2 linked regions of the Drosophila melanogaster genome follow. The protein of the gene in region 2 interacts with the protein of the main gene of each other region in a pairwise test. Each region holds a gene or a part of one and is shown on either strand. Other genes may lie near its edges.

Region 1 (16,841 bases), on a different chromosome or scaffold from region 2:
AAATTCAACGAGTAAGTAAATAAACAAATAAACATGCCGCAAAAACGAGGGGACCTAAAACTATATATGTATGTGTGTTCGAGTTTCAGCGAGCACTGCAGCACAGATTTTAATCGAGGTTTGCGAAGGGATTTCGATTAGAAGGGGATTGGTTTAAGAGACGTTTGATCTGTTTACCTCCATAACCTGAATGCGCAGACGAACAGAGTTCGATTTGGCGGTTGGTTGGTTGTTAGGTTCAAACATAAAATAGAACAGAAGGTAAGTGATTACGACACTGAGATCAAACCAACAAGAACACGCACTCCACCACGGCGGGCCAATGGCCCAGTAAAGCTGGCGCGGATGGGGAACAGGCCCTGCCCCTCCGATTACCACTACTTACATGTCCGAATTTGTGGTACATCAGAAAGCTCTCAGCCGACTGGGCCACCTCGTCGCTCTTCCAGCTAATGAACTGCAATGAAGTGGAGAAGGCAGAACAATTAGTGGAGTCCAGGAAATAAACAATATATTAATAAAAAATAGGTGTGCATTTTAAATTAGAATGGCTTTGAACAACACTGCGTATGAGTAACGTCTTTACGCCGCTGTACAAATGGTAAGAATCATGTACGAGGTACACGGAAGTTTCTTATATTTTGTATTCATATATTTAGATATGTTCTATTAATACTCAATTTAAGCAATTTAACTTTACTATCAAGACTCTACATAATATTAATCTAATATTAAATCTTTGTATTCACAACTTTGAACACTAACATTTAAGTTATATTGCATTTAAGAAAGAAGCCTTAAGAAACCCTTGCTTAAACGTTATCATGTTTGCTAAGAAAACCTAATGGCCCGAATTCTTGGCAGCCAATTTCAGGAAGCACGAACAAAAGAGCTTAGTCGCTCTCATTTACCTTGTTCTTGAAGGACTGCACTACACTGGCGGCGCTGCCAGTCGCGTTGATCAGGATGAGGCCCAGCACCCGGCTGGGATGGGCCAGTCCGAAGCGGGCCAGGACATTGGCTCCGGCACCCTCGCCTAGGCCGATCACGTACTTTACGTGCAGGTAGTCCAGCACGGTGACCAGGTCCTCGCCCAGGGACTGGAGCGAGGGAAACGGAAAGCCGTCAGCCAGGGCCTCCGCGTTGTCCGCGTGCCCCGGCACGTCCACGTGGATGAAGCAGGAGCGCTCCTTGATCTCCGTCATGCAGGGACTGCTCACGAACTCCTGGAATGAGTTGTCTGGGGACATGACCAGGATTAGTCAATTAGTCCAACCGGGAGCTACTACTACTTACGGTTGCAGCCCAGGTCGTGAACCGTTATGAACACGGCGCGTTTCTCCTGCTGTGACAGGTCGCCCTAAATCACAAGAAAATCACAAGAATGGAGTGTAGAGGTTAAGGTGATGCTCCTTGAAGAGGACACGGTCCGAACCCAACTCACCTGCACTATGACCGTCAGATCCCCGCATTTCTCTGTGCTGATATTGTATTTCTGCAAGAGTAATCGAAGGTAATCGAAATTGTGAATAAATTGAAGTGTGTGTCCGGAATGCGGTTATTTGTTAGAGGGAAACTTGAAAACTTCGAAAAAAGGCAAAATCATTTTCACGTTGCCATAAACACAAACTCAAGCGTGAAAAATGACGGGCATGAAATGACCAAAAAATGTGAAATGTTTTTCTCTGCATTTGACTTTGTGAGCGCTTGCTTTTGGCAGGTCCTTGATGTCCTGGCAGCCACCTTGTGTCCCTGGCCCGCAAATATCAAGCCCATACTCCTCGTCCTGCCCTGTGTAAATTTGGATTCGAATTTGAATTTGAATTCCTCGCCCAGGCATGGTGAATATGTGCGTGTGCATTTCATAAATACCCACCCACTCGTGCAACGCAATTCGAAATTTAAGGAAAACCCACCAAACTGTTGAATATTTTAAAGCTCAGGGGTATTTTTAGCCTTAAAAACTCTGTTCTAAACTGAATTCCATGCTCTATTGACCGAATTCAATTTGAAGTTTAGGAATTTTAAAGTGCCTGGGTTAGCTAACAACAAACATGACCTTTCTTTTGGGTGGTTCATGTATTATTTAAGCTTAAGTCATACTTTTCCATGCGGACGGAATAATAAGTAGTGACGAAGCACACATCTTGTTTAAGCCCAATGCTCCGTTTAGATATTCCAAAAATATGATACCATTAAGATCTAGGTCAAAATGGCAGGTTTTAACAGGTCGATATAAAAAGTAGTTTTATTACTTTTGGAAAAACATCGAGATCTCTATGTCCATACGAACAACTAGATAGCCTTGTCCAGATCGACTCGGATACCTGATCAAGAATAGATATATAAATTTTATCAGCTTGGAAACGGTTTTTCCTACCTTCACTTTTTATTAACAAACAACTTTGATAGGTATATTATTTATTAATTAGCCACTTTAAATTCTTGCGTGCTCGAATTAAATAAGAGCTATTATTCAGCTTGTACTTTAATCTTGCGTTAAGCTCAAAGTATCGATTTGTGTAACTCAAGCTGTGTGTGAAAGGTGCTATTTTAAAGGTTGCTATTTTGATGTTTAATGAAAGAAGAGCTTAGCTTCTGCTCTGTTCGAGGTTCTTTATTTGAATAATCAAAGTGTGCTGAAGTTGGGTTCAGCTAACCCGCACATACATTGCTTATATCTATGCATTCTTACTTACATTTATACATATACATATGTATGCAGAAGGCATTGACCACTTGAGCGGCAAAGTGCATGCTCAGCATTCCCACGCTCCGCGATCGGCTTATGTATAAGCGTTAGATCGTATTACTGGGGCGCTGGAGTGCTTACGTAGTTTTTGGTGGTCTTTTTTGTATATTTGTATATTTATATTTATTATGACAAAGTGTCACAATGTATTGACGCTATGTTATACCCAATCATTTATGGTATTTTTAGGGTAGATTAGTCCAATATGCTACATGTGGAGGACCCCATCACAAAATGTTCGATTTGCGGAGGGAAGTGTATTGTGTTTGGCCTATCACTTTCAGGCGCCTCTGCCTTGCCAGAGCCCATTTCGGAATTTATTAAGGCGTAAAGCAAATAAGCCTGCGAAGCACCTCGAATTGATACGGGAGCATCGGCAGTCTCCTTTGTCCTGCGAGTCCTGGGCATGCCAACCCACACGAAGCCGCCAGGTTCGAATAGCACAACCATGGCACGTCCATCGAACACTTATTGAAATTGAGCGAAACTATACAAGTGTCAAAAGACCAACAGGGCCAAGAACCTCTTCCGGCCAAGAATTTTCCTAAGCCCCTTAATGTCCATTTGGTTTAAGCGAAAGCTTCAGACCACCCGCTCATTTGGGGGTGCTGTGCAAGCCAGTAAATAGATAAATAAACGGAATGGGTATTATGTAAATGCATTTGTGAGTCGTCGTTTCACCTGCGGCCATGCCAATAAAAAGTTTTCCATTCAAATTAGGCGCATAAATAAATCACTCAAATTGGCTATTTATGTAACTGCGCTCCGTTTACCAGCTGACAGAGCTAATCTTTCCGCCCAAGGACAATGCAAAATGCAAAGCCAGGATGCAGCTGGCTGCATCGCACGCGAATCCATCGACAAGCTGGGGAGGATTGGCCACCGTGCTTGGATAAGGCGACTGCATAATGGACAATAAACAAGCAGACGGCTTGCTCCCCGTCACGAATCAATTGGCATTAATTGAGTGTGAGTGGGTTGGTCAGGACGGGGGAACGTAAGGATTGGACTCATGTTTCTGCCAAGGACAAAGCAGAGCGCAATGGGAACCTTTCCCGCTTTAAAAAATAATCGTGCTAACTTTTATTGATTGGAAAAAACATCTCATGAGCAGAGCAGCATCCTATAGTCGAGGAATTCGACTTCCGAACTGTGTACAATTCACATCGTAAAGTATATCTCGAGGGCGTGGGAAATTTATTTACTTGATGCATTCCACGAATGACTGCGACAAAGTGTTGACAATTGGTGACGAAGACGAAGAGGAGGAACTGGGAGCCAGGACCTGGGCAATTGCAGGGATACTGACGAACTAACGATGAGGCAAGTGTAGCCTTTTGTGCACCTGTCCGTCCATCAGAGTGTTCAAATATAGTATATATATACATGCCATGGAAAACGCTTATAAATAATGAAATTGCCAATAAATGGCACGCCCTCAACACAAAGTGAAAGTGGAAAGTGGAAAGGTGGGCGGAGTTGCGATTGGGATTGGGATTGGGTTTGGACGGATCTGGATGGTGCCACCTGTGACGAACTGCATGGCTGCTTGGCTGGCTGCACTTTACGACCTTCCGAAGCCCATCCATTTACCTTCCCCCAGCGGAATCCTTGACATTTGACCTCACTTATATCCCATGGATCACGGATGACGGATGTAGTGCGGTTGGCTCCGGCAGAATTTTCACTCACTAACAGTCGAATGCCTTTGATACTCTGACGTACACCCAGCAAAATGAAACTTTAAAGAATGATGTGTGGTATGTATGTATGTAAATTCCAAGGCTGAAGACTTTATACTTTGAAATTCTTCTTCAGATTCCTTGATTTTCAAAGAAACGTAATGAGCATATATACATGTTTTCTGTCTAATTAAATAATACCGATAAAAGTATGGGGTTATAGCGTTCTTTTATACCAAAAAACACGTGGTTCGATCAGTCCAATCAGTCCGACTTTCGTAGGCCAACGATATGGGATAAAGTTGATGCGACAGCCAACTGAAGTTTTTATTCACTCTCGAGTTTTTTCTTTTCAATTGAAAGGCGAAAATGTTTACTCGTTTTGCGTCAGAAAAACTTTTTGGCCGCTTGCATGTGGCTCTTGGCATTGCCAGAGTCATCAGTCAATTAAAAAGTCATTTGGCTCAATCGTTTGATTTACGTGAAAAAGTCTAGCTCGCCCGCCCTTCCTCCGGTTTTCAGTCTGCGCTCGTCGCACTTTAATTGACTTGTGATTGGGTCAATACTTGCACTCTGCCTTGTTTTTGCTGCCATGTGCATCTGGATTCTTAATTGAGACACACGACTATATAGTTGTCATGTCTTTGACTAGATTTTCCTGTGACGGAAACACGTATGTATGAGAGATGATGTTGACTTTCAAGGAACAAGTTGGGGTCAGTTCTTCAATTGGCAACAGTCATCAGCTAGCTAATGAATTCGTATTTTTGAGGTAAGCAATTTTAATACCCGTTACTGGTAAAGACACTATAAAGTTCATATAATCTTGAGAAAGATTGTCAGTCCGTATGTCTGTCCGTATAAACTTCTAGATCTCGGGAACCAATAAATCCAGAAAGTTGACGACTACGCTGTGTAAGTTGTTCCAAAATCTTGCCACTCCCATTCTCACCGCCCAAAAATAGTTTTTTTTTGTAGAACATCAATACTTTGAAATGCTCTACAATGTCAGTCGAGGTATTCTTTAAACCGCACACACAAGAATGTATTTTCCCGTTGCCAAATAACCTACTTGTTTGCCATCAACAAAATAGAGCAGTACAATTTTGCGAGACACGAATTGCATTTTCATGTCCGCAAAGTTTGGTTTTCATTATGAGCATTTTCCGGGCATCTGTTTGAATATCACTAGCAGATGCAGATATATGCGTTTCAGTTTTGCATCGTAGAAGGAAACCGTATGTGAAGTGTGCCCAAAACGATGTCCTGAATGCCTGGAAAACATGCATAAAACTGTATCACTTGCTCTCCGCAGGATAACAAAAGCGAATGGGGTCCTTCCAGAAGTGTGGGTGAGTGGGTGGAAGTCCTCCAAAGCTGAGGCGCTGCCCCAAGCCAAAGCTGAATGCTGCAGCTTGCCGGGATGTCGCTGTACTGAACTCATTGACCTCCTTGCTGTTGCTTTTCCGTGTTGCCATAGCTCTTGGTCGCTCATGTATCTCCTCCACATCCTCGTATCGCTTTTTTCCTGCCGGCTGACTGCGCTTTCACGTTGCCGTTCAGCCTCGATCCCGATTCTTGATTCCTGTGAACCCGTGAACCCAAACCCGTGCCCCCTCGGCAATCCCATTTGCCCCGATTCCCCTCTAATGTCGCAGTCATGTGGCAGCGACCTAAGTGCCCATTACACACGGCAGCCCCGTATCCATCATATCAAAACGCTTCCTATCCCTTCCCTTCCCAGGACTCACATCCTTGTGTTAGCGTTTGCAGGAGCCGTCATTCCGTCGGGTTCAGTCTGCAGGATTGCTGATGGATTTCACAGTTGACGGCTTGATGCCTGATACACTCTGTTCCGCAAAACGATGTGTGGTTTTTAAGCTTATTTTGAAATTTCTCCCTCGCACTCCCATTATTTCAGAATGGGGTATCTAACCTTACATTTAATAAGATTGAGTACATATTTGTGTGATTACATTAAAATTCGTTTGAATATTGATCTATTATCTTCTGACTGTTTCTAATCTGCTAAACGAATCAGAAATATCCTTTGAGCTGCTCCAAGAGCAAAAACGAAAGGCAAACAACAAACGTTTGCCAATTACAATATATTTTATCCAAGAACGAGAAAACTTGCTGTAGCCAGAAGTTGTCATCTGGTTGCTTGTTCAAAAAATCGTTAAACGCAAGTCGAAAAGTTTGTAAGATTGAAATGGCTAAAAGTTCGCACCTCAGCACTCCATCCATCAGCATGCAGGCTAAATGTCTTGTGCTTGTTTAATTGCCCATCAGAGGTATACACCATCATTGGAAACTAGTGTTTCGCCAGCCAGGTGGATATAGGTCACCATTTATCTCTGATCCCCCACTGCCCACCACACGGCTCATCAGGGTTTCAACTCATCAGCGTGGATCGGGTAAAACAAAGCCGGGACCTAGTTAAGGACTCTCGAGAGAGAGCCAAGTCTGCTGCAGAAGTATTCGCCACTTGAACAGAAAGTTTATTTAACAAAGTGCCTGCCATTGAATTAAGGCCACAGGCCCGTCCTCCGGAACCCAATCCCCTATTTTCTCCGCTAATCAGCATTTTCCTCGCCGGACACGCCTAACTCAATCGGTGGGACTGCTCCCCGGGCTTAATTTATTGCATTCGCATTCCTTCAGTCCGTTTCCCAGTTTGTTGATGGGCGGACGGACAGAAGGTCCAGGTCCCGTCTTGGCCACTTCATTTTGGCCAAAAGCGAATTCAAGTGTAAATGGATTTTGTCTAATAACCGCACTTGCACCGTAGCACTTTGGGGATGCCCCCAACGCCCCAAAATCCCCAGCTCTGAGGATTTTATTGGTATTTGGTTAAGTGCTGTCATGTGTCGTCCTGGGGGTGGATTGCCCACATAGATATGCCTCCTTCTCGCCCGGCTCATTCTGTTGATGCTATTCCTCACTTTTTGCCGTCCTTTTCCTGGCCAGCATGCGTAATGGTAATGTAGATTTAATTATCGGATATGGGCCGCCTCTGGTCCCTCGTACTTGTGCCATTTCCGAGTTCATTCTATTAACAACGCATTAATCTCAATTAATATTCCGAATACCCAGTGGCGGGCGAAATGTTTCAATTAGCAATTGCCTGGATTGAATTCTGCAGGTGCATTGTGCAGGCCACATAATTGATATGATATTTAATTTCCCAGCTGATTTGGCACAGCAAATCCTGCTAATGTACACAAATTCGAGTCTGTATCCATAGTAATCATCGGTGGACTGTGCCATTGTGCAGTGCATTATAATTGGGACATAGTTACATATTTATTCTGCCCTAGTAGTCCGATTCAAAGATTGGTGGCAGGTGGATTTTCGGAGACTAAAACATTCAGTTGCCATATGTAGATGTGAACCATTTAATGGCTCTTCTAGACCAAGTAGAATTTGCCTATCTAGTTGAAATGCAATTAAATCCAGAGCGAAAAGTCACAGTCAGCATTTTGGAATTGGAATCGTTTTGACTTCTCGTGCAGGACCTTTTTGCCAGGCATTATCTAAGAGGAGCACAAGTTGGCCGCACTTTGACGTATACTTGATGGGATTTTTATGCCCCGACACTTTTCCAACAGCCTGCGGATGCCGTTATGAGGGCGGTGAAAATCTGGGTAAAAGTGTTTGAATTTATGGAAAACCTTGCAGGGGGAGGGGTGGGGGTCGGTTGCATAAAGGCAAAAGCCCCCAAGTGATGCGAAAAGTTGTGCAAACAAAATTCCAGCACACTTTTCTGGCGAAGCGACCGCATTGCCAGGGAATTTTTAATAGACACAAACAAATCACGCGGGCATGTAGGCCGGTGCTTAAAGCCACCAATTAAATGTTCTTTAAGTTTGCGCCCGCAGCCGCAGGGGGCAACGGGGCGTATGAGCAACCTTGCCTTGCAAACTTTGACACTTTGCCGGTGGCAAAGTTCTTACGCCACCGTTTCCCACTCACTTAACAATGCATAGAGGAAAAAATATGAAAAAAAAATTGAAATAAAAGGAGAAACGCGTGTTTTTCGATGCCTTCGAAGTCAACAAGTTTTCGTCTTGTGGACAGGGGACACGCCAGATGCTCCGGCGAAAACAAACTCGGAGGATGAAGAAACTTGGCTGGGCGGAACAAAGAACGCAAACTTGACCGAAAAGGACTTATATCCTGAAGTGTGAGTGTGGGCCAGCACAAATTATGGGAAGTTTCTTCAAGGCGGCCAATGGAAGACCCGCGGGCAGAATGTCGAAGGAAAATGGAAAAAGTCGTGGGAATAGTGGTATAGGTCTGGCCCGGTCTGCAGTATCATGTATAATGCATACCCCTATATGGACAGCCGACTCCCCATTATGCTTTTCCCTAGTTAAATTCCATCGCATTCAGATTCCGCTTGAGGGGATGAGCGAGCCCTGCGGAAAACTGGGAAACAAAGCGAGTCGGACAGGAATACAGCCATATATCGCAGAGATTTACTCCAGCAAAGCCCTTTAGTCAGCATATTTGGATTGAGATTGCAATGCAGGACAAGAGGGTGTGCACCATGTGGTCGGGGTGGAAGTGGCGCAGCTCACATTGTGGTCAGGATTTAATGAGCTCAGTCGAAAAGGAAAATGGGGAAATTATGAGCCAGCCACGAGGGCCAAAAGCGAATAAGTGAAAAAATGCTACATAGCAAATATTTATAAAGATTTAATTTTTATATTCCAGTTATTAGTTTTCTCCGCAAATTATCAAATAACATGTAGCATTTCAACAATAAATTAACCATATTTCAATGAAGTGGGTGCATTCACTTTAACTTTCAACTTGGATATGTTCCTTTATTTCCGTTTAGAGTCCGCACCACTTTGTCGCCATATAATTAGCTGCCTAATAAAAGAGGGAAATAGCAGGCCAATAAGACCGAACGAACACCATAATTTTGCCCATTTGAGCACCTAGATTCGTTTTGGCCCACTCTACGCAGTTGCTGTGTGCCAGATGCGACCGCAAATGGCACGTAAAAAGAAACATGCAGTTCCAGGCTAATGGTTGAGTCGCCCCCATTCCAATAGCCACATCAACAGGACCACACAAAGAGTCGCACAAACAACGACATGCAGAACGACAATTATGCAATTTTTATGAGGCGCAAGACAGAAAGTATGCTATGCCCTTTGAGCCCAGTTCACTGGGCACCGAGGGCCAAAAAAATAAAAAGCAAACAGCACCCAACTACAAAAGGTAACCCCGTGCCAAAAGGGGAATTCGAGGTCACCAGCATATGTTTCTACAATATATTCTGTATTCTGTTTTCTCTATTCGATCGCGGTGGCTTAGTCTGGCTTAGCATTTCGCGCTCACCTTTTTTAATTGAAGGAAGTAAAGGGGATGAATTTTAGGTAGACTAATTCCACAAAGCCCTCGAACTGTCACGAAATTAGTTGATTACATTTTCAACACCTTACGTTTTTTTGATAGTATAATTTTCCATTTACGTGCTATTTAGCCCTTTTCATGTGGAAGAAAAACTAATAGCTTTTTCGTGGTACAAGTGCTCAGAAATATTTCATAATTTCTTAATTTAGGTAGGTTTTTAAATATTATTCAGAACAACTTGGTCTTATAGCAAACTAATTCACTCGTCTGCAATTTCATCACTAATTTCCGTGCAAATATTTATCCCGACTTTTTTGAAAGATTATACCACTCAGACACTTGAGATGTTAACAGAAGTAGTCGCTCGCACTTGCAGCTCGGCGTGTTACGAATATTACGTATACGCACAGAGAGAATTCTAGAAAAGCGCATTAACGCACTTGACGGACGGGAGTGATGTGGAACATGATATTATGGTGTTCTGATGCTCTGCATCCCAAATCAGCCAGGATGCACTTTTCGAAAAGCTGTCCTCCTGGCGGTAAACTGCTATGTCGGAACTCACGCTAATCTTCTCGGGGGCAGCAGCTGCTGAGGATGAGCCGGCGCCGTGCTTGGGGGTTCCCGGCTTCGACATGGTGTGGGATTCGGGCGACGGTAGCTTCACTTCACTGGGTTGCTCAAAGGAACTGCGGGACACACAAGCGTGGCTCGAACGGGGCTCTATCAGGCGCACAGCAGCACTCGAGGATGGAAACCGAAATCGGATGCGAATCGGGCGGAACCGCGTTTCTGAACGAATGCGCAATCTTCGAACGCCTGGCGACGACTGGGAAAACTGGCTTATCATGGGAAAATGCTACGCCATCGCCATCGCCGGCGTGAAAAGCCGATCTTTTCCGAGGCGAAACGAAGCTGAGCGAAACGGGGAGCAAAACAAACTGATGATGAGTGAAATGGCCAAGTGAAATCGCCTTCTGCCCACTCGCTCCCCCTCTACCGTTGTCTCTCTCGCTCTCGCAGTGATGCTGCCGGGGAAAAAGAGGCGGTTGGGGGTGGGCCAAGTGTTGAAATGTTGCCGTAGGGCAGTTTGTTGGGAAGGTGTTGCACAGAGCGTGGCCAGATGGTTGCCCACCAACTACGCATTACGAAATTCGACTCCCAACTGAGTTTTGTGTTGAAAAGTATTAAATTTATATCACATTTATATCACATTTAGATATTGTGTTTCTGGTCCTTTGACTTTGTATGCGTCAATAGTAGTTTCTGGAATCTTCAATGCATTACGATTACTTAAAATATGCATCTAGACAAATATGCTACCTATAAAACCTAGCTAAATACAGCTTATGAACTATTTATTTGTTTGTGGTGTAATTTTATAGTATTTTTAGCTTTGGCAAAGAGTGATTCTAGATACCAACCAGAAAATATAAATATTTCTCATTCTCATTTGTTTACGTCAAGCAATCCCAAATATTTCAATTACCTCTAAAGAACGTAATTGCAGTTTAAAATTCAAGGGAACATTCACATATACGTTTCTTTCCATCTGGCAACGCTCGCACTGCAACATGCACGCACACACGCGCACCTACAGCTTCTGCCGAGAAAATTCCGTTGCCTACTTTTGGGCGCGCTTAGTTTGGCGCCCACTCACGTTCGTCGCTGTAAGAGTGTGTGTGTGTGTTTCTGCTGGCCTGCGTTTGTGTGGGTGTCTTGCGTGGGTTTATGTAAAAATCCTTTTTGTCTTACTTTGTTTTCGGTGGCATTGTTGAGCAGACTCTTTATTGTCGGCGGGCTCTCGCCTTTGCAGCCCTTCTTCTCTTGTTGCTCTAAGCCTTTTTGGCCTTTTTGTTTTGATGTGCTAATTTGTCAGCGCGCGGGAAATGCGCAAATCCGTCTCCCCGGACGACCCGGGCACCCCAATTCCGCCCACTTCTCTGGCGAAATGCGCATTAGAAATATGCGTGTCCTAGGTCAAGCCGGCTGCGGTTATGCCACGAGGGGCTGTGCCTGTGGGTGGGGGCGTGGCCGCCGGGTCGAAATTTCTGATATGGATATGGAAAAAGGGTCACAGAGCATAGGTGCAGAGGTGCGGTGCGGCCGGTACGGTGATATGATGGAATGGATTACTATTATGTGCTGACATCGAAGGCCATCCCCTTCGCAACTACCGATGATGCAGCTCGAAAATGCTGGCTGGCCAAAGTGAAAGTAATTTAAAGTTGGATGAGAAAAGCGCAAAATGTTGAAGCCAATTAGGGGTAAACCAAAAATATTGGATGAACTGAAGGCTTGGATACTTGATACTCCATGCGATTTTAAATTCTTTCGATTTACAAGAGCACAGAAAGAAAAACCGTTGAAGATATTTTAAAAATTTCAAAAGGTTGTTTCATTTCAGTTAAATGAACCATATTAAATGTATGTTTTACGAGAGCAATTCGCTGATCTTCTCAAAATTTGCATGCATTTCCGCCAAGGCCATAAGCAGATATGTGTCATAATTTTTTGTGTTTCAATTTCGACACGTGCTTTAATTAAACAAATGGGGATGATGATGATGACTGAAAGCGCATAAAGCCGCCAGTCAGACAAAGGAATTAAGCAAAAGGCGGGCGAAGGAACAGCGCTGCATGCACATAAACGACGAGCAACGAACAAACACCATTGTCAGCCACAATTATCCAGGCAGGTGCTTCGAACCCACAACAAAATCCGCCAAGGAGGTGGATTTATGGGCGGGCAGGCGTTGGCCCAGGAAGGTGAATGGGCACCTGGGGAATATACGCCTTTTTCGAGCGGTTAGCGGATGATGTGGGTGTGGCAAACAATGGCTGAATGGGATCCCAGTGGAGAGCGGGGAGGGGGGTGGTGCTAAAACTAGGGTGGCTGCAATTGATAGTGTGTAAGCCGATTGCTCAAGGCGGCAAAAGCTGCGGAGCATGGGTTCAGGCGGATCCAAGTAGTTGGCTGAGTAGCTGGGTAACTGGGTAGCTGGGTAGCTGGGTAGCTGGGTAGCTGGGTATCTGAGTATCTGGGGAGTTGGCAAAGCGCAAATATCCCATTTATGTCAATTCGCAAAGTTAAGCGTGAAAGTAGGAACTCAACTTCAAGGTTTTCCCCCAAACAGACGCTAAATTCCAAGAGATAAACAACGACTTGTCGGCAGTCAGCGAAACAGGAAGCAATGGCTCTTGGTAAACAAATCCAATCAATTTTTTCGGTGCCTTTGGTGCCTTGGAGCTTGGGCAAAAGCCATCATAGGGGTTCTGTTCTTCAATGGGTTAAAATATAAAAACAAACTCAAGCACTTTGTGTAAATTGTCGAGCCAAAAAGGGAATATAAGCACATGAATTTTGATACACAATTTATTCTTATATCGTATTTTACTAATTAGACTAATGGAAAAGACCTAACGTTTTGAATTTGGATATATTTGGATATATTAAAGAGCCCACTAAATATTTGCAACAGTTTAAATCCCGTCCTACATTTACAGGAGCATCCTGTTCCCCCTTGGAACCACCCGCACCAGCAGGATCAGCCCGGAACACTTAAGCCCAAATGGCAACACAAACACACGTCCTGGAAAAACCAACAGCCGAAGGATGACAACGGCGACACTTGAGCAAATGCGTTTGCCGAATCTTCCTTTATGCCTCCTGCCTCCTGCCACGCCCCTTGAGCCGCGCCCCTGCCCTGCAAAGTGGCAGGCAATCTTCGGAAATTCCTCCGCAACGATATAATGTATACGCTCGATATTTACGCATTTATTTATGCCGCTCTTTATTGGCTTTTTATCGTTCATTTATTTTGCTCGTTATGTTCGCGTCGTCGTAGTCGCGAACTCACGCCACCCAACTTATTTGCCCAGCTATTTTTGGACTCACGAGCGGAACGATAGGAGTGTACACGACATGGAATAAATGCATGCGTTGGCCCAGCGGACGGAGGATGGGGGGAAGATGGGCATGGCTTATGCGAACATCGATCATCCGCCAGTGAAAGGTCGTTCGAATGGAATGCAAATGAAGCTTTGGTCACCGAAATTCCCGCGCTGATTGATAAGCGCCATCATCAGCATCATTACCGCCATTATCATCCGCTTCCACTCGTCCCAAATTGATATGCAAAGTGTAAGCAAAGTCCGTGTTACTAACACCTGGTCCCGAATCCCCCACCACCACTGCGCCCTCTTGGCAGGCGAATCACCTAGCTCGGGTTCCACCCTCCGCCACCCTCCACCTTCCATTCCGAACCGAAATTTAATTAACATTTTTAATTCCTCCACTTGGCGCGGCCAAAGAAAGCCCTTCCACCACTTTCCTTGGCGGAGGGGGGGGGGGTATATTATTAATAGATTCAGCTAAAAAAAAAACAGTCTAATTAGAAGCTTAGTCGTTCCACAAACGAGGATCTAATGTCTCTTTCCTGAGGAGAAAGTGAGTTTAAACACAAAATGGGTATTCAAATTTGAAATCAAATACTTAGCAATATACTTAGATGTTTTGAGAAATCAATTTAAAATCAATCAGTATATGGTAACTAATTTTATTAAAGCAGCATAAAAAGCCATGCATTTATGATATCACAAGATATAATTAAAATAGGCTTATGGTGTTTAACCTCATATCAAATGTATGTACACAATAAAATGAATATTCTTTCAAAAGTGTCACTTTAATTCGTTTTTATTTCCCATTCATTGCCTTTAGACCACCCAATTTCTCTCTCTTTACTCTTGGTATTCGATGTATGGATGTGCAGAAATCATTTTGAAATGGATCGTCTGTCCAATGAACCCGGTCTTTCCAGTGAGTGTGCCGTGCCCTGGTCAGTCCGCTCACTTAAAGCTGCAGTGTGGATGCCATTATATGGACGTCTTTCCCTACTCCCATGCAACTCTTTGCCTTCTTCCCATTGCCCCCGACTGTCTTCACTTCTCCCAACCGCTGACAAATTCGCTTGGGGCTACTCTGCTAAAATTCCATTGAGTCCCCATACAATCCCATACAGAAGCATAAGCACTGCCACTGCTACATCCACGATGACCGCGCAGTTTTGGGGGCTATTTGCATGGGGACACCTATTTTTAGCTAGACAGTGGAGCAATGACTCTTTTATGCCCCGCGAGTGCGAATATGCCATTGGTAGCAAGCCGAACTGATTTTGATCGTTCTTGTGCCCTATAAGGATCAGGATCATCCAATCTAGGTTTCTTTAATACTAAAGAGCTGTATGCTCCGTGGTGACCTGTGCCACCTACGAGTATAGCCTTAGTTTGTTCTGCCGGCCAAAAGGCCATTCCAACTACTGAAGAACATACATACTCGTACATGGATTTGAGACCACCGAGAGCTGCCCTTCAGAAACACACACACATTTGTGCGGCGGGTGTAACCATGCCCATAGGAGGCAATCGGTCTTGTGATAGGGAACACTTCCGACGACCTTGATCCGAGCACAATTTGGCCCCACTCATTAAGGCGATGTGCACAACGTACGCGAGTGTTTCAGATTAATTAAAGCAGTCGGGCCAAGCCAAACAGCGTCACCATCAGCCGAGAAATACCGACTGGCTGTCTGAGCCCCGCCACCCACGGCCATTGGTACCTAATCAGATATGTATGTATATCGATGCTACTGGGAATTTGACTGTGCCTGGGACTGTTGTTTCTACTGGGAAAGTGTCATGGCATGGGTGAAACACATTTAACGCCTCGAGCCATAAATTACGAGCCGTGCCAGCAGCAGTGCTGACAACATAAATCTGAATTAGTGGCAAGCGGGGCAGCAAGCAACAAACAAAACCGAGTATCGATCTCACGATCCGTGGTCACTTAATGCCGGTACCTCGTAAATGGTATTCATAACTCTCACCCGCTCCACCAGGGATTCGGCGCGGCGCGCGAAGGAGGCGCGTTTATCGGCAATGGACATGGTTGGACTGGGGCTCTGGATGCGGTTCAGGATCGGTGACTGGGACTGGGCTATCCGGAAGATACTGGGAACCGACAAGTCACGCGGGGGTGTAGGTATCACCGGGGAACGCAGCTGAAATGAAAAGAGGCAGAACTTTAAACAGGCTGTTATCTATCTAAGGCACACGATCGATATGGTTTTAAGTCTGTAATAACTAAGCAAATATCGCACGGCACACGCTAAGTCGAATCATATGCAAATACAGTGGACATCAACAAGACCCAATACCAATACCAAATACTAGTTGCTAGTGCAAGTACAATCTATGCAGGAGCCATCTTGCTAGCCGAATTCCTTTTATTTCTATTCTTAGGGTTAACCAATTGGTTTATAGTTCATATAGCATTATTTGCCAAAAAAAAAAAATATATATATATATAATGGCAACATTCGAGGTGGAGGTCCCGGCCCCAAAAGTCATGAAATCTGCCGCGTATGTGTTTTCATTTTTGGCGAAAACAAAGAAAGACTCGGCGATGAAATGCAATTAATATGCAAGTGCCACTCATTGTGATGGTACTATTCTGGTCTATTACCTTATGGACCGAATCGCAATTATGGCGCAACTTCAACTTTGGACTCGAAAGTGTCAGCCACCGAGCTCAGCATAAATATTCGAGCGGAAATTATCAACAACTGACATTAAAATCGGAGCGGGAAAGACGCGACTTTCGGCCGGAGACGATCGCATGCGATGAAAACGCGTCCAAGTCGGAGGAATACCGCCGTAGAACTGATGACACACCCGGGCCGAATGCTCGACTTTTGTAGCGTAGCGAGCATAAAGAGAGTGCGTTGAAATGGGAAATTCATTATTTTATTTTTAAACGTCGTCGCCCTCTCTATTTTCGCAGATTGGCTTTTCCTCGCTTGTTTCTTGTTTCGTGGCAGATTGATTTATGGATTTCGGTGCAACAGGTGCTGGCCAGTTGACAGAGCGCCGAAAGTCCGCCGGACACACCCACTGCTTCCAATCTGGAAAACTGATTGGGACACAAAGCTGCATCCAATTTGCATAATCCCATCAAAGAGCACTTGCACCCAATTA
Region 2 (15,565 bases):
GTGACATCCAGCAAAGATGTAACACAGGGCGTATAAATAAATAATATTCGAGAACAAAATCCATTTTCCGGAACAAATGAAGCGGCTGAGGGGGAAAAGTGCCTGAAAATACATTTTCAAGTTCAGGCCAATGGAATCGACTCGAAAATAGCAACGGCCAAAGGTCATGGGGCATTCCAATGCCAAAACGGGTGGTTAAGTAGTTGGGTGGGTGGTTTTCGGTTGTATTTGGGCTGGGTCATGTTCATCTGTTCACCGCCGAGCGCCAACGGTAAAATTCCCCTTGGAGTGCACCGCAAATTGAATGCAAATTCGTAAACGTGCCATCCCACGTGTGGCAAGCAGTTGAGCACTGGTTTTTGGGCGGCGCAACAAATGGGTGGAAGTGGGTGGTAGTGGGTGGTAGTGGGTGGTAGTGGGTGGTATTGAGTGGTAGTGGGTGGTGCCTGGTGGAGGTGGCTGGAGATTAGTGCTTCATTGAGAGGTGCTGGCTCAACTAGTCAACTGTCTGGGAGACTTGGGGAATTGTTTTGAGAGTAACAATAAAATAAGTTGAATGCAATGCATCCAAAGTTTTCCCCTTTTTACAAAAAAAAAACAACATTTTAAAGCATTCACGCAAAATATTTAATACACTTTTTGTTTAATTTCATACATTTTGAATGAAATACTTTAAAGCTCTGACCACCTTTACGGAAAGCACTGGTCTTTATGTTAGGAAGTCAATTAAATGTTTCAGCAACAAGACTGAAAATATACATAGTATGTATTTATTTAACTACCTAATTTTTTTGTTCAAGCTTTTAATACTTTTTATTTGTTGCCACACAAAAATATAAAGATTGGTGCTTTGATTTTCTCCAACTTTTAAAATTATGCAAAGAATACAGAATGCACTTGGCAGTCATTCCATCGTCTTGTGAATCGATTGCATCAACTAATCCTCCGTCCCCAGAGTTTCCCCAACCTTTCTCCATTTTAGAAATGAAAGTTTGTGCTGACCCGAAATGCATTTTCCACTTGGAAACTGTCCGTTCAATGGATGTGTTTGCGGATATTTTTAAATGATTCAAATTTATGACCTGTTGCTGGCATTATTTTCATGCCGATGACAGGCCTCCCTGTTGATGTTGTTTTGTATTCTGGTTATGGTTGTTGCTTTGGCGGGCCTAGTCTTGACAAGATAAAGCGGCAGCCATATGGAAAATATTTCAAAGAAAGATTGCCAAATGCTGATAAGAGCCGCACTGAATCCGACCGCCACGAACTCCACGAAACCATTTCAAATTGATTAGAGAGGGAGCGAGTGGGCCGAAGGCGGCAGAAAGAGACGGGAGCATGGAGCCAACGGAGCATCGTCTGCGATAAACATTTAAGATAGCATCGAGCCATTAAAGACTCAGATCGCAGGGGCCAACTCAGGGGGGTCCCAAAACAGCCAAATCCCCTGAGATTTTATAACAGGAATTATTTTATTGAACATTACATCATTGACATTATTTATTCTCTGGGAAACTTGATTAAGAATGCTGACATCTAATTGTTCTAGACCCAAAACTGGCCACAACCTAGCAAGCTTTTAAGGAAACCCTTAATATTTATAATAAACACATAGAATAATAAGCGGGTTTCAAGTTACATTGATCTGAAATGAAAAATTACGTTTTTCCGAAACCCCTCTAAAATAATTTCAAACATCGCCTCTGATTACTGCTCCTACTACTTACCGCTATAAATCTTCTGAAGTAATTCGTGGCTTGGGCAGGCTGTCTTTCTGCTCCTGACACAATAAGAAACCGATTTGGCAGATTGCGGAAATTCAGCTTGCCACCTGAAGTGGAACACTTGGGTGACCCTCGAGCGGGAAATCCGAGATGCGCGAAAAGCTGCGCCTGCGCCTTCTGCGCCCTTGCTGTTCGTAGCATGCCCCATTCAGGGCTGCTTAGCCATTATATTCATTATACACTTTGTATGGTACCATAGTAGGGCACTGTCATTGTTCGGCAGCTCCGACATTGTTCCAGACAGCTTGCCGCTTATGGCTTTTGAGTCAACTTTGTTGTGATTATGAAATGATTTCCAGCCACTTTTTGCGTGGCAAATGAACTTGCTTTCATTGCCACGGAGTGCCAGACATCAGAGTACATATCTTTCGGTTTGTGGCTGGGTGAAACTGTTTAGAATGCATAAACAGCATAAAGACAGGCTAATGAGACAGGCTCCCGACGGAAGTCGGGCCAAGAAGATATATCTGTAGGAGACTTGCATTCGCTACCATTCGCTACTTTGACATGCTAAAATATCTGCACGCTGGCACGTTTCTGGCATTATAAACACATTAGGTATTCGCAAAACATTTTCATTTGCCAATGACTGGGCGAGCGGGGCAGCAGGGGGCTCCTCTGCTCTTCCTTTCCAGCAGACAAGGTATATTAATTCAATTCGAAATGCATTTTCGCCGAAATTGCTGCCTTTTGCACCATGAGCGCCGTGAGCGAGGGCCAAAAAAAATTTGCATAATTGCCTGTTGTGAGAGAGGCGAAATCGACAGGTGAACCAGGCAGATGAAGATGTAATTGCATCCTCTTTGGCAAGTTGGCACTGGCGCAATCAAATTCAATCAATTTAATTAAGCCGAAACGGGGGCGTGGCTGCAGCACATTTCGAAATAGAAGAGCAGGCATGGCGTATACGCAATTTGCTTTATTTTTAACACGTTACGCACGTAGAGCGATGCTAAAAATATAATCGCGTATACACTTGTCTTTATATAGCCGCCATAATATCGAGTAACAAACGCGTAGCACACACGCACAAAAGCGGGAAAGTCGGAAAAGTCGTGAAAGGGGGATAAGGGGGAAAAGCTGGCCAGAAAAGGAAGTGAGTTTCCCTAGTGGCCTGGCTACATAATAAAGCGGCCATAAAGCAACAGAACGTGCTAACAACACGTACAAATGGGCCAAAAGGGATGTGGCTTCGGTTCGCACAGTTCTTCTATTTCGGCTGCTGTTTGGCAAACTATTTTTCAGAGAAGTCATTTGATGAAAATTGGTAGGTATGATAAATATGCTGGCTTTTAAAATTTTTACTTTTATTGGTTTTTGGGCCTTTTGGTCACATTTTTATAGGTCACTTTTATATAATAACATTGTGTAATTTGCTTCAAGAGAATGTAATGTAATGTAATGTTACAGAGAATTCCCACCTTTTTTTTTACAAGTGAAACAAAACATTTGTAATAAGTAAGTGGCCCAGATCCGTACAGTTTCTTTGAAACTGTATTCATCGCTGAATATGAGTTCTTTTTTTCGCCACCCGTCATATAAATATTCCAAGTTAAAGTTTTCGAGAAGGTCCCTGACAGTGGATGAGGTTCCGCAGTGGCTTTGGGCCGCAGAAATTTGTAATTCCCAAACGAGGCAAGGGCGCATTCTCATGCTAAACACGAACCAAGAGCGATTTACTGGCACTTTTTCCATATTTCCTTCGCTTTTCCTCCTCCCAACTCCATATTCCCGAGTATGTGTGTCAAAAAGCAGACGACATAAATAACACAAGCCGCAAGAGAAGAAAAGATGCCCAGCAAGAGCAAGAAAATAAAACACGTGAAAAAAAGTTTTTTTTTTCCCTAAGCCGCTTGATAATAAAAATCAAATAAGGCCGTAGCAAGTCGAAGAAATGACTGAAACCGCAATGCAAAAGAAAGTGAGACCGAGAAAAAGGCAGTGGAAAGTACATTTTCACACACGCTTCGCTTAAAGGAGAAAAAAAAAACATGAAAATAAAAGCAAGCGCGTAAATAAATAAGAAGCGTGAACTTGAATTGATTTGCTTAAGAGAGCCTAACGAAACTCCCCCTTGTTTAGGCGCAAAAAAACATCATAATTATAACGAGGTAGCAATTTGTTTGGTTTCGCAGCGCAGGCAGCGGTGCGTATGAGCAATATGCGAGCAAGAAGCATTTTTATGGCACACACGGGCATCAAATTTAAAGCGAATGCCAAGAGAAAAAGGTTAAATGCAGCTGTAAAAATTCAACGACAGTCGCTTGTAGGGCTGTGAAAAAAGATTTATGAAAAATTGGCTTTTGTTGTTATGGCTGTTATGTCGTTGCTGGTACTGTCTGTTGTTGTTGTGGCCTCCTATGCGTCGAGGGGCTGCACAAGTAAACAAGATAACATGGTCGAAACACACACACACACACACTCACTCGAAACGAATCGAAACTTGCACACACTTACACACACGCAGAGAAGAGCCCGCGAACGGAAATGAAAATGTGAACTTTTGACAGAACTCGCCTTTTTGCCATCGCCACACGACCTTCTCCGTTCGTTAGGATATCCGCTTTTTGCCCGGCCACATTTTTATCAACTAGCATAAATAAATCAGAAACTATATGCCCTGAGGTCAAAAAGGTTTATCCGCATGCATGCACAGCGAAAACCGGGTGCTATTATGAAAAATAAAAACCAAATTCGAATTTCCATTAGAAGTGGTTGAGATTTTCTCGGGATCTAAGAAAATAGTGAAAGCGTATTCTTTGCAGCAACTTAAAAACAATGATAGTAACAAAATATCGGTCAATCAGTAATTAGAATAGAATACGAATAGGTTAATTCTAAAAGTGCTTTCTTATGTAGAGCAATATATTTTTCCAGTGGCAAGTAATAAATGTATCATCCTAAAATACCATCTTTCCTGTGGCCTCACAAAGATCTGAAAACATAGAATAGCAAAATATTAATCAAAGCAGCCATAATTTTCATTCTCGTTTTCATGTTGAATTGAATTTTATCTGTAGACCGCAAAATAAACAAAGATGCCAAAGCAATTTTGTGGCCAATGGAAATCACAACAAATACATTGCTGGTTTTTATGCATAGATAAATGCACATTGGCTAACATGGGTTAACTGGGTTAAAATGACAAACGCAATTGGGAACGGCTACAAAAAAAAAGCAGCACATTTTTGTTGGCCTTTCTCGACATGGCTTCTCTTTCTTTCTTTCAGACATGTTTTCCCACATAAATGTAATTTTATTTTTATCGGTCGTTCACAAATTTGTGTACCGTTGTTGCTCATGTTTATGTTTATGCATTTAAATGGCACAGTAACAACAGCAGTCCGAGAAGCCAGAAAAACTCGGAAAATTTGGCAAGTGAAAAGCGGGCTGCAAGCAGCCGGCGATTGCCAGCTGTCTGATCTCTGGCCCCACAAAAGAAAACTGACCCACCCCGACCCTGGCACAATATCAAAGTCAAATTGGGCGTAAAATTCTGATGTTGCCTGTGCCAAATAAAACCATCATCGTCGTCGGCGAAAAACATGGAGACCAATCCGAAGCTGATGACTAAATGATGAGGCTAATGATGGGCAGAAAAGGGCCAGCGTCTCGGAAATGTGGAGCAAGTGCGTCATGTTTCCAGCTCATTAGACTTATTTATTGAATACATTTTTAGATCCAAATTTAACTGGCAAAGCTCTTATGACTTGATTTATTCTGGCTAAAACAAATAACACACAAACGTTTTTGCTCAACGCTCAATGGAATATATAATTAGAAAACAGGTATTTTAAACATATAAAATGTATATTGCAATAGCAGTCAATAAATATTTAGCGTGTTATAAAAAAGGGACATAAATGTTATGGAAAAACTGGTAGGTCTTTAACTACCAACAACAAGTTGACATATAACTCTTGAATGGTTATACCTATCGGAATGTAAAAATCGGCAGTGGCTCTACTTATTGATTATTGCCACGACTCTTCCCCTGTAATTAGTTTTCCAAGTGATTGTGCTCGTTCCCCGGGATTATTAGCTTGTCATCCAGGGAGGTTCCACCCCATCCAAACATCACCCAGCATCTCTAATTGCATTCAATATTCCCCCCTGAATCTTAACCCTTCCAATCGTCAGATAAAATTTCAAGCAACTAAGGGTAGTGCCCTTTAGCGGAAGATAAGAGGAGGAGGCAAATCCCTTGTAATCCCAGCCAGGCGAAGAAATCACAGTCACAATCCTTTGGCTACGGACGCTTTGGACGCAGTGTCGCCCGCTCGATGGCGAGAAAGTTCGGTCGAAAGTTGTTGAAAAATTGCAAACGTTAATCAAAGTTAAGCGTCGCAGAGCAGACGATGCGATGCCGACGTCAAAGTTAATTAAATTACAAAGTTATTTAATACTTTGGAATCGCAGGCGTTCGCCAGAAGCAGCAGGAGGAGCATCTGCTGCTACAGCAGGCGCAGGACCTCTTGCTCCTTCGAACTCTCGCAGCATCATCGCAACGTGTGGCAGTGTTTAATGAAATGTAATTGAAATAAATTAATTTTTTCACACTTTATTCCGTGGAGTAGCTTGGTCTGGCAATGGAAACATTTCGTGTGCTTTTCACCTCTTACTGAGCTGCAGTTTAATTCGGTTTTTCAATACCTAGTCCCCCTGGACTGCAGGGCTCCTCCATTTCCACGTCTTCCTCTTCGAAATTTCCTGAGGATGGGCGTGAACTGTGCAACTTGGGCTTCTCCAAGTAACGGCAGTCGAGGGCTGTCGGGATCAAAGTTGTTAGGACCATGTGAAAGTGATGGCTGCGCAATGAAATAAGCTTGGTCAGGCAAAAGCGATCAAAAGTATTAAATGTTCCACTTTGGTTACTCAGTGCAGTCTCTAAGTTATTTCACAAAATACGTCCGTTTTAGTCCGCGGGATTTAAGGAAAATCAGTTTTCCAGACTTAAACTCTAGGGCCTGTCTCTGCCCTGTCTTACGTAAAATGTCATATAATGGCTGTGTAAAAGCGTTTTATGCACCAATATTACTGGGTATGTATAGTAATTAAATACCTTTGTGGGTTATCACCTCGATGGGAGCATAGATGTCCGTATCAAAGACCTGATTTCTTGGCATCAGGGCGTCCGAATAAGGAAGTTTCTTGGGTGGACCTAGATCCAAAACGTGGCCACTTCCATCGCGTTGGGTTTCTTCGAACAGCGATATATTGGGGTTGCACCTCAGGTAGTATTGATTTAAGGCGTTTTGGGTGTTCAGCTCATTCTCGGCATGGCGATTCCTCATGGCCACATAGCTGCGATCCGTAACCTTCTCAATGGTCGAACTCTTATAGGTGTGCGCCCCTGGAAATGGTGGCAAATGGTCCGGAATATACGTGGTGGAGGCCAATTCCACGGCCTTTGTGGAGCTCAGCACGGGTTGCGGCACACTGTGGAAGTCCTGGTCTTGTGTCTCCGGTGCATTGCACTCAACCAAGACCAACGAATCCGGTTGACCCTCGTACATGGCCTTTAGCTCGCCCACCTTGATGTTCATCCGGATGAAGGTGCGCTCCAGATCGAAGTAGCTGGGTGCACAGCGACCAGCGTGATTGGACCAATTGGTAGTCTGACGTGCAATCTCACGGAATTCTCGAGGAACACATTGATTAACAATACCATTGACATGGTACGAATTTTCTTCTAGCTACTTACTGCCACGCAAAAGTTCCAGCATCGACTGACGCAGTACGTCGTCGACCACCTCACAGTTCTTGGATGCCAGCAAATTGTCCAGCACTGTTGCCAAGACTTCGTCGTAGGTATTCATTTTTGGGCAAATCACTCGATTCGACTGACTGTTAAAACGAAGTGTCACGGACTGGCCGGGCCTTAAGTTTATCGACGATAACTAATTGACATTTGATTTATTTGCTTTAGGATTGCCAAAGTCATTTTTATTAAACATCTGAAGTGTTTATGTAATATTTTAATTATATTTCAAGGAATCCATGTTCTTTTCTAATTTTCAAATTTCCAAAAATTTGCATATATGTTTCCGTATAACAGTTTATAGCATAACAGCCTAAACTGTTTACACAATCTTTCCAAAAGGCTGAGCACTAAAGACCAGCAGCTAAATACCGATTGGGAACTGTCCGCACCACTCCCCTAAAACTAATATATTTATAATAATATATAAATAAATTATAATATTTTCGCCTTTTGCGATCGCGACCTACTGCAAACGACTCGGCGTATAGAGACTCGTATCTTAAGCATCTCTCCTAATGAGTTATGCAAATATTTACAGCCGTATGAATGAATGAATGGGTTCCAAGAAAACCAAAGTGGGAGCCATTGTTTGTCTGATGACAAATTCTCCAGACTCCGTCATAGACTAGCCAAAACGTGAGCTATAATCAGTCATAAGCCGAACAACAACAACAACAACAACAACAACAACAACAAATGGTGCGAAAAGAGAATGGAGAACGGAAAACTGGGGGGAAATGGAAAAATCCAAGCACGAGGTCACTGTGTCAGAGTGGAAAAACTACTTTAGATGCAGACAGATTCGCGTTTGCGACGCCCAAGAGGCTGCTGCAATTGAACAAATTGTACCTCCTTCCAGAGTCCCTCCCCCATCATATCCCCACCACTTTTCTCCACTTTATATTTTTACGATCCCATCATGATGATGTAGATGATGGGGATTATGTTGGCGGTCGTGCATTGTGGGCGTTCCGTGGCTGACATTTGTACAATGAACTCGCCCGTATTTATCTGGGATCTAATGTTTTTGCCTCCAAGCGCTACCGTTTACGGACCACAGAGAAAAAAAATCTCTGCTCAATTGAAAACTGACAACTTGTTGTTTATAAATAATACAATAAAAGATAATAAAGTTCCAAGTCGTTAACGTTAAGTATTCAAATATATATATAGTTTTCAAATTGCGTTACAAAAACTTTAGATACTCGTTGCTTAGCTAATGGAACTGAAAAATAAAAAAGAAAATGAAAAAATAAATAGAAATAAATATGAATATTTCGCCTGGTGACAGTTTCAAGTGGTTTTTTGACCTAGGAGTGGGCGTGGCAAAAATATTTTCGACATATAATAAAATTAAAAATAAAAACATGTTTCAAAATTGCGGGCGTGACAGTTTTGTGCGGTTAGTGGGCGGTAAACTAGGCGTGGAAATCTTGTTCAAGCTTCCTGTGCGTCAATGTTAGTAGAATCTGCGTGCTTTACTTTCTTAACTTTCAATCTTGTATAGTTCCTAAGATCTCCATGTTTATGCGGACGGACAATCCGACATGGTTTGATTGTCCGGCCTAGTAATTCTGATCAGGTCTACAACATATTAAATACATATTTTGAAACGGATATTTAGTGGTATATAGTCTAGAATACGCTTTTACTCTACGATAAACGTCCTTTGATAGTGTATGATAGCTATGATTTCAAGAAGCGCTTTATGATTAAAATACAATTTTTTTCTCTGTTGCAAAGATTAAAAGCAATCGGCTTTTTATGCACTATTTTTTTTTTTTTTTTTTGATTTACCGCAACTGCGGTTGCGCCCATTGTCGCATAAATTCATTCTTAATTAACAAGAATGAGGAGCACATCCCGACATGACGACGACGAGCGATTTGCAGGTTGTTTGCCCAGACGACAAACATAATAATTGCTGCAATTTAGCCACCACCAGCCAAGATTCAAACAGCGGAGTATTTGTATACAAGTACATATACATATGCACATAGGGGAAGTGCAGTCGGCGCAAATTGAGCTGTCTTGGGCTAATTCAAACGATTAATTCGATAAGCTTACAGCTCAAATCGGCAAACAGAAAGACGAACGACAGTTGGACAAACTGGCAGCCAATTGATTGAGCAGTCGATTGCGATTGCTAGGGAAGTCTGTGACCAAAGGCCCGGTGCAAATTGCCGCGTCGGCTGGTTTGGAGTACAAAGCACCACAAATTGTTCCAGTTTCCGAGGCGCAGATAAATCTATTGAGATATCGGGACCCGGTTCCTTCATCCATCGCCTCGTTCCTCATCGCAGATGCACTTTTGCTGGACCGTTAGGCCCACGCAGGCCAAATGCATCTAGGCGAGAAACTGTCTGGATTTCATTGAGCTTGTGGCACGATCTTCTGGAGAACTGTTGCCTCAAAGCAATCACTTGACGGAGGGCGGCATAATCTTTATGGCAGGCCAATGAGGGAACTTTTCGACAGGTTGAGCCACGTCCCGAAATAAACGGATTAGAGGTCAACGGAACTAGCTGAACTAGTTACCTTTGCAAATTACAGTTTTCAAAAATGAAATATTCAGGATTACAGAGTTTAATAGAAATTCAATTAACTAAATACAACTATTTAAAAAATGAAATCTTCATGATTGCAGAGTTTAGTAGAAAGTCAAATAACTAAATAAAATTATTTTGAAAGAAAACCATCTCCTAATTTTCCTAAATTCAAGCGAAAAAAGGACAAAAGAATGTAAATTATCACTGATTGGCTATCTTTTTTTTTTTAAGATAATGAGCACTTAGTTAAGGCCTCTTTACAATCTCCTGGATCGAAGACAATCAAAATCAGGCATTCGCACGACTTTTTGCCGGCCAAACAAATCGCTAATGGCACAATCAATGCCAAATTGCGTAATTAAAGCCAGATGGCGAACGGTTTGGGCCACATTTGATTTTGATCAATGGCCAGCAGTCAGCCTACGGAAGCCAATTTACCAAAGACACAAAGCGCGTTCGTCAACCCGTCAAGTTGTGTTAAATTGTACATTGACTACGGCACTAACAATAACAATTATTGTAAGTTATTATATCGCAAAGGGGAAACGAGTTTGGATGACCAACAGGTGCTACATTCAGCATGCATTTTCGATACTTGGAGTGGGAATGGGGACATCGGTTAACAGCAATCTTTAAATACTTACAAATGGGCCATGTGCAACTAGTGACGGAATCAGTGAGCAAATTTTGATAAATCGCCCTCTTATCTTATCAACCTAAAAAACAGCTTTTGGAATGACTTAAATTAGGTTATAACCATATTTGCTCGAGCCTCTCACTGATTTTTGTGTAACCCATAAAAGTTTTTACACTCGGTTGGGTTTCTGGAATTTTTCAAGTACTCATTGCGAGAAGTTCAAAACTGTGGAAATCATTTTTTGGTCGGGTTTCGTTGTAGTTTTGCTAATAAAAGAGTAGTTGAATTTAAAAAAATATATATATTATATTTTATAACCTGTCTTCGGCAGATTTAATCTTTGAAAACCCACTTGAACAAGAACTAGTTTTAGTCTCTATTTGTACTTCGGCTATTATTAGGCCACTTGCACTTTGCAAGTTCTATAGTTGACTTCTTTGCACTTCGACATTTGTCAGTTGAAAAACTTTTACACAAATAAAAGTTGTTTGCATTTTCCCAACTCCCAACCCAACTCTGACAACGTTTCCTTGTACTTTACTAAACGTGGCTATGCAAATCGAATAGAAGAGATTGGGATAGTCAAACAGACAATGTTGCAATTTAGCCTTTTATGAAGTTGACAAAGTAATTTTGCAGCCAGACTCATTTTCATGTTTTCATGTTCGGCACGGCCCAACTAATCATAGACCAGGTTGGTATATCTTTATATCTGAAATGAAAGCAAACGCGAAGATAGCAATCGAAATGACTTTATTACTCTCAATTGACACAATTTGGAGGCTACGCCTGTTTTTCATTTTTGGTTTGACCAAATTGAAATTTATTGGCGAAACAAAAGGCGAATTATGTCGAACGGAATTTAATAAATTATCAATTCTAGTGAGGCTACATGTGCAAAATTGGGAATTAAAAGCGGTTTGCGAAACTCGTGGCACATTTAATAATTCAATTGTCTTTTCCCGAAACGAGGCAAGCGTCTGACCCGATTTCGATTCGATTTAAATTCAAATCAACTTTTCAAAGCTGGCGGCAAATTTATGCAGTTTCAGGTTCCCCATCTACTACTTTGCGCTCATCCGTTCCAGAAACCACACAAAAATGCAAAATATGTGCTGAAAACTAGAAACCTTCCCAGCATAATTACGCAGTTCGACATTAGTGAAGAGCTTCAGATCCAGCATCGTCAGAATTTTTGGCTAAAACGTAGAAATTTCGAAGGGGATTTTGGCTGTGTGCGAAGAAGTTTCTTACAACTTTCTGTATCGTATGTCGACAAAATAAACATTTTCAGCTGACAGACAACGTCGAAGCCAACGAAGATAAACAAACAAAGCCCCAGAATGCAGTTGCTGAAATTATGAAAGAACTGCCTGATCAAAGGGATGGATAGAATAGTGGGGGTAGCTCGGCATATAGCACATAGTGGGGCAAATGGGGAAATCCTGACATATTCAAGTGGCTGTGATCCGCCATAAATTCCGTTGCAATTATTATTTTTTTGACGCCGAGTGGCTCGAATCGAGGAGTTTTGGATTATTATTCGCCTCTCGAAATGTCAAAATGCTTTGCTCCGAATGGTTTGCATTTTGTGCGTCGATTGAGACAATGTTACGGCAAAGGAAATCTCGTGAAAGTAATCTGCATATTTCCTTTTTGCATCGAGAGCATTTATTGATTATTGCTGTGTTTTGTATTGCAGATTCGCCGATTCGGTTGCAAAGGACTCTTGAGGACGTCTTAACCAATAGGTAATTGTACTAGATGTATTTAACTTTTAACTTTGTTTGTTTAATTGACTTTATTGGGTTAAGAAACAAGAAAATCTGTCAATTAAATGCGACATCTTTAATCTTAGTCTATGATTATATACTATCATAGACTAACCTGATTAGGTGTAATTCTCATAAACAATCCTTTCATCTTCAGTTATTTCTCGAACACAAATTTCACTTCTTCAATGAATTCCCACTTACAAATGTGCAAGGCAATTGTATTATAAATATCACTGGGGAAATGCATGCATATAATTCAACTGTCAACTCGATATGGATGCCATTTCTCCAGTTCATTTGGCTAATGCAATTTGTGCCACCAAAACCCGCCCACTCCAATTTGGTTACACCTCCTGGCCCTCTTGTCAATACTCACCGCACATTTTGCGCAATGCCAGGCGCATATATATAAATATGTGCCTCTCGTAGACGGTTTTCATTTACACTTATTTATATTTATTTCCACACATCGCCTTCGATCGGAGACCCATTTCCAGCATTTATTTATGCTGATTCCATTGGGCACTATCGCCGTGTGCATTTTTTATTGAAAAGGGAGTTGCAACTGCATTTACCACAATAAGTTAGCGATAAGACGATGGAGTGGCATATAAATTAATAAGAGTGCAAAATGGAAAAGTTTATGCCCTCTCACATGGCGCATACGTAATAATTTCCAATGGCACTTTTGTGGCCTTAGAGACACAATTTACCTAATGCCACACGATCAATATTGATACTTGGGCAATATTTGAACAATTTGTTTCAAAGTCACAGACATACGTAGCAAACTGTGTTGGTAGAAAAACCCGTGTGAGTCAAATTGCAGATGATTCAATTCCTCCCGTGGATTGAAAACACACCTATGTATAGCTTAGTCAGCAGAGATTCTAACTCATTCCTCTATTTTACGACCAGAATCAATTTGCATGCCATTTGCTGTGTCAAAGTTTTCTGTATTTACTTATATTTTTTTGCTTTTGACCATATACGTGGCGCTGCCTATGAGAACGTAATTTGATTTTCAGATATCGAGTTTGATTTGTTTGATTTTTGTGGCGATTCCAAATGGCTCGCCTTGACATTTCGTGCTGGAAAAATTTAAATATAGATTAAAAAGCGACAAAAGCGGCTGGCCGATTGGTGTCGAGAGCATCATCATCTGTCGGGCCATTAGTAAAAAAAAAAGCTAATGCCACGCCCACTCTCCGCCCACGCTGCCACTCAATCTATAAATATGCCAGACTTTGCATAGCCGTAAAGTCAACAAAAGGCATCCGTAGAATGGAATAGGATGGGATATGATGATGCAGCAGCTGGCCGGGATGCCAAGGATGATGGTTAAATGGGCAGGGGCTTTTAGGGGGTGTTTTATGGTAGTTCTGGGGATTCAATGTGGCGAAGTTGAATGGTGAGCAACGAGTGCAGCAGACCGGTTGCCTATAAATTACAGTCAAACGGAAATCATTTTGCATGCATGTCCTGCCGCCTGACTTGTGAAAAGAAACCATGTCCTGTGCAATTTCAACAATTCAGTAAATAGGCGGGAAAATTTCCACTTGGCCAGCCATTGTCAACACTGCGTATACGTGATGGGTCCAGCATTAGCCAGACCATAAACTAACTTTCCATAATGCGATTAGACCCAGCAGCACCATGCAAGTCCACCTACCCCAATCTGCGAGAAATCGCAAAATTTCTGCAGCACACGCACAAAAACCAAAAGCGAAGCAACAATTTTTCAGCCTCAAAGTGATTTCAAGGCAACTCATGTGGATGCGAGATGTGGGTGGTGGCCAACAAACAAGATAAAACTTTTGATTTATCGTTGACACGAAGCCAAGAACAGAAAGAACAAGCAGGACACGAGAACCAGAGGACCAGAAACATAACCAAAACCAAGTTGGAACCAAAACCAAGACCAGCACTAGGACCTAGGTCCTGCTGGAATTTCGGCCAGCGGGAGGCAACTGGAAGCTAACTTGGCACAGAAATGCTTGCGTCGATAACGAAAGGCAGGCACATACAGAAAAAACACTAGAAATGATTTCGAATTTTAATACATTGAACAATATATAGTACTTTAAGTGCTATACTCCATCCATATTCTAGATGTTGGCTATGGCAACAACTCATTTGGGAACATTTGGGAAAAACCCCTTTTCCTCTGAGTGTGCCTGCATTAAAGGCAATTACACAGCCATGAAGGAGGAGAAGCCATTCCAGGGGAAGTGCGTAGGAGGCAGTGTCAAGTGTGTGTCACGACACGCGTCGACAAATTTGTGGGCTCCCAGCCGAAGTGCTGCAAACAAGCTGCAGCTTCTGCTACACGAGGCAAATGAGGCGGTTTTGCGTGTTTGGGGTCGAGCGTAGAAGGAAGACAAGAGGCACGGACAACAATGGGCACCTAAATGGTCAACTTGTTGGCCGGACACTCGGATAACATCGCTAAAACAATTTACCCCAAACCAGATACAGTAGAAAGGACTCTGAAAGCAAAGTTCCGCAATATTTGTTTGTTTTGCCAGCCTTAATTTTCACAATTATTAGCTCGCTCGCATTTTTTGGTTTGTTCACTTTTGGGGGGTTTGAACTTGAAAACATTTAATTGAAAATATTTGTACGCAGAACGAAAATACTACAAGTGACATTTTTATGTCAATGAAGTGGGCACACAAAACAAGGCATATCATTGAAGAAACGATCTTAAAAGCGATGATCGACTTAGCAGAATTTACATCATCGCTGAATTGGAATTATATGTGCACTGAAAAATGAACTACATATCCGCAATATCGAAATTTATAAAAAAAAAAATGTCGTCAATATGTAATGTGAAATGAAAAATGACTTGTTTTCATGTCATAACAAATAAAACAATATTTTAATGAAATAATCTTAGTTTATTAATTTTCGTGGTGGTTCATATTCTTTCCCTCCACTTTCTTTAAAAATGTATTTTTTTGATACGTTATTATATTATATTGTTTTATTATATATTATATTGATTTCGTGTGCCAAAAAACAAGGTCTCCTATTTTCTTTAAGTGTACGAT

Evidence for each region.
Region 1: the proteins of sa (region 2) and CG2082 interact in a two-hybrid assay, tested with the Drosophila melanogaster proteins (one large-scale study listed by BioGRID).

What each region holds. Positions count from the first base shown.
Region 1 is NT_033777.3:5,761,261-5,778,101, forward strand, and holds the start of CG2082 (uncharacterized protein), read right to left. Parts: upstream 10,639-16,841; 5' UTR 10,442-10,638; coding exon 10,370-10,441; intron 1,496-10,369; coding exon 1,445-1,495; intron 1,361-1,444; coding exon 1,297-1,360; intron 1,241-1,296; coding exon 912-1,240; intron 458-911; coding exon 386-457; intron 187-385; coding exon 178-186; coding exon of another isoform or gene 154-177; exon of another isoform or gene 1-153.
Region 2 is NT_037436.4:21,399,094-21,414,658, forward strand, and holds sa (spermatocyte arrest), read right to left. Parts: upstream 7,646-15,565; 5' UTR 7,604-7,645; coding exon 7,489-7,603; intron 7,426-7,488; coding exon 6,847-7,425; intron 6,552-6,846; coding exon 6,418-6,551; 3' UTR 6,332-6,417; downstream 1-6,331.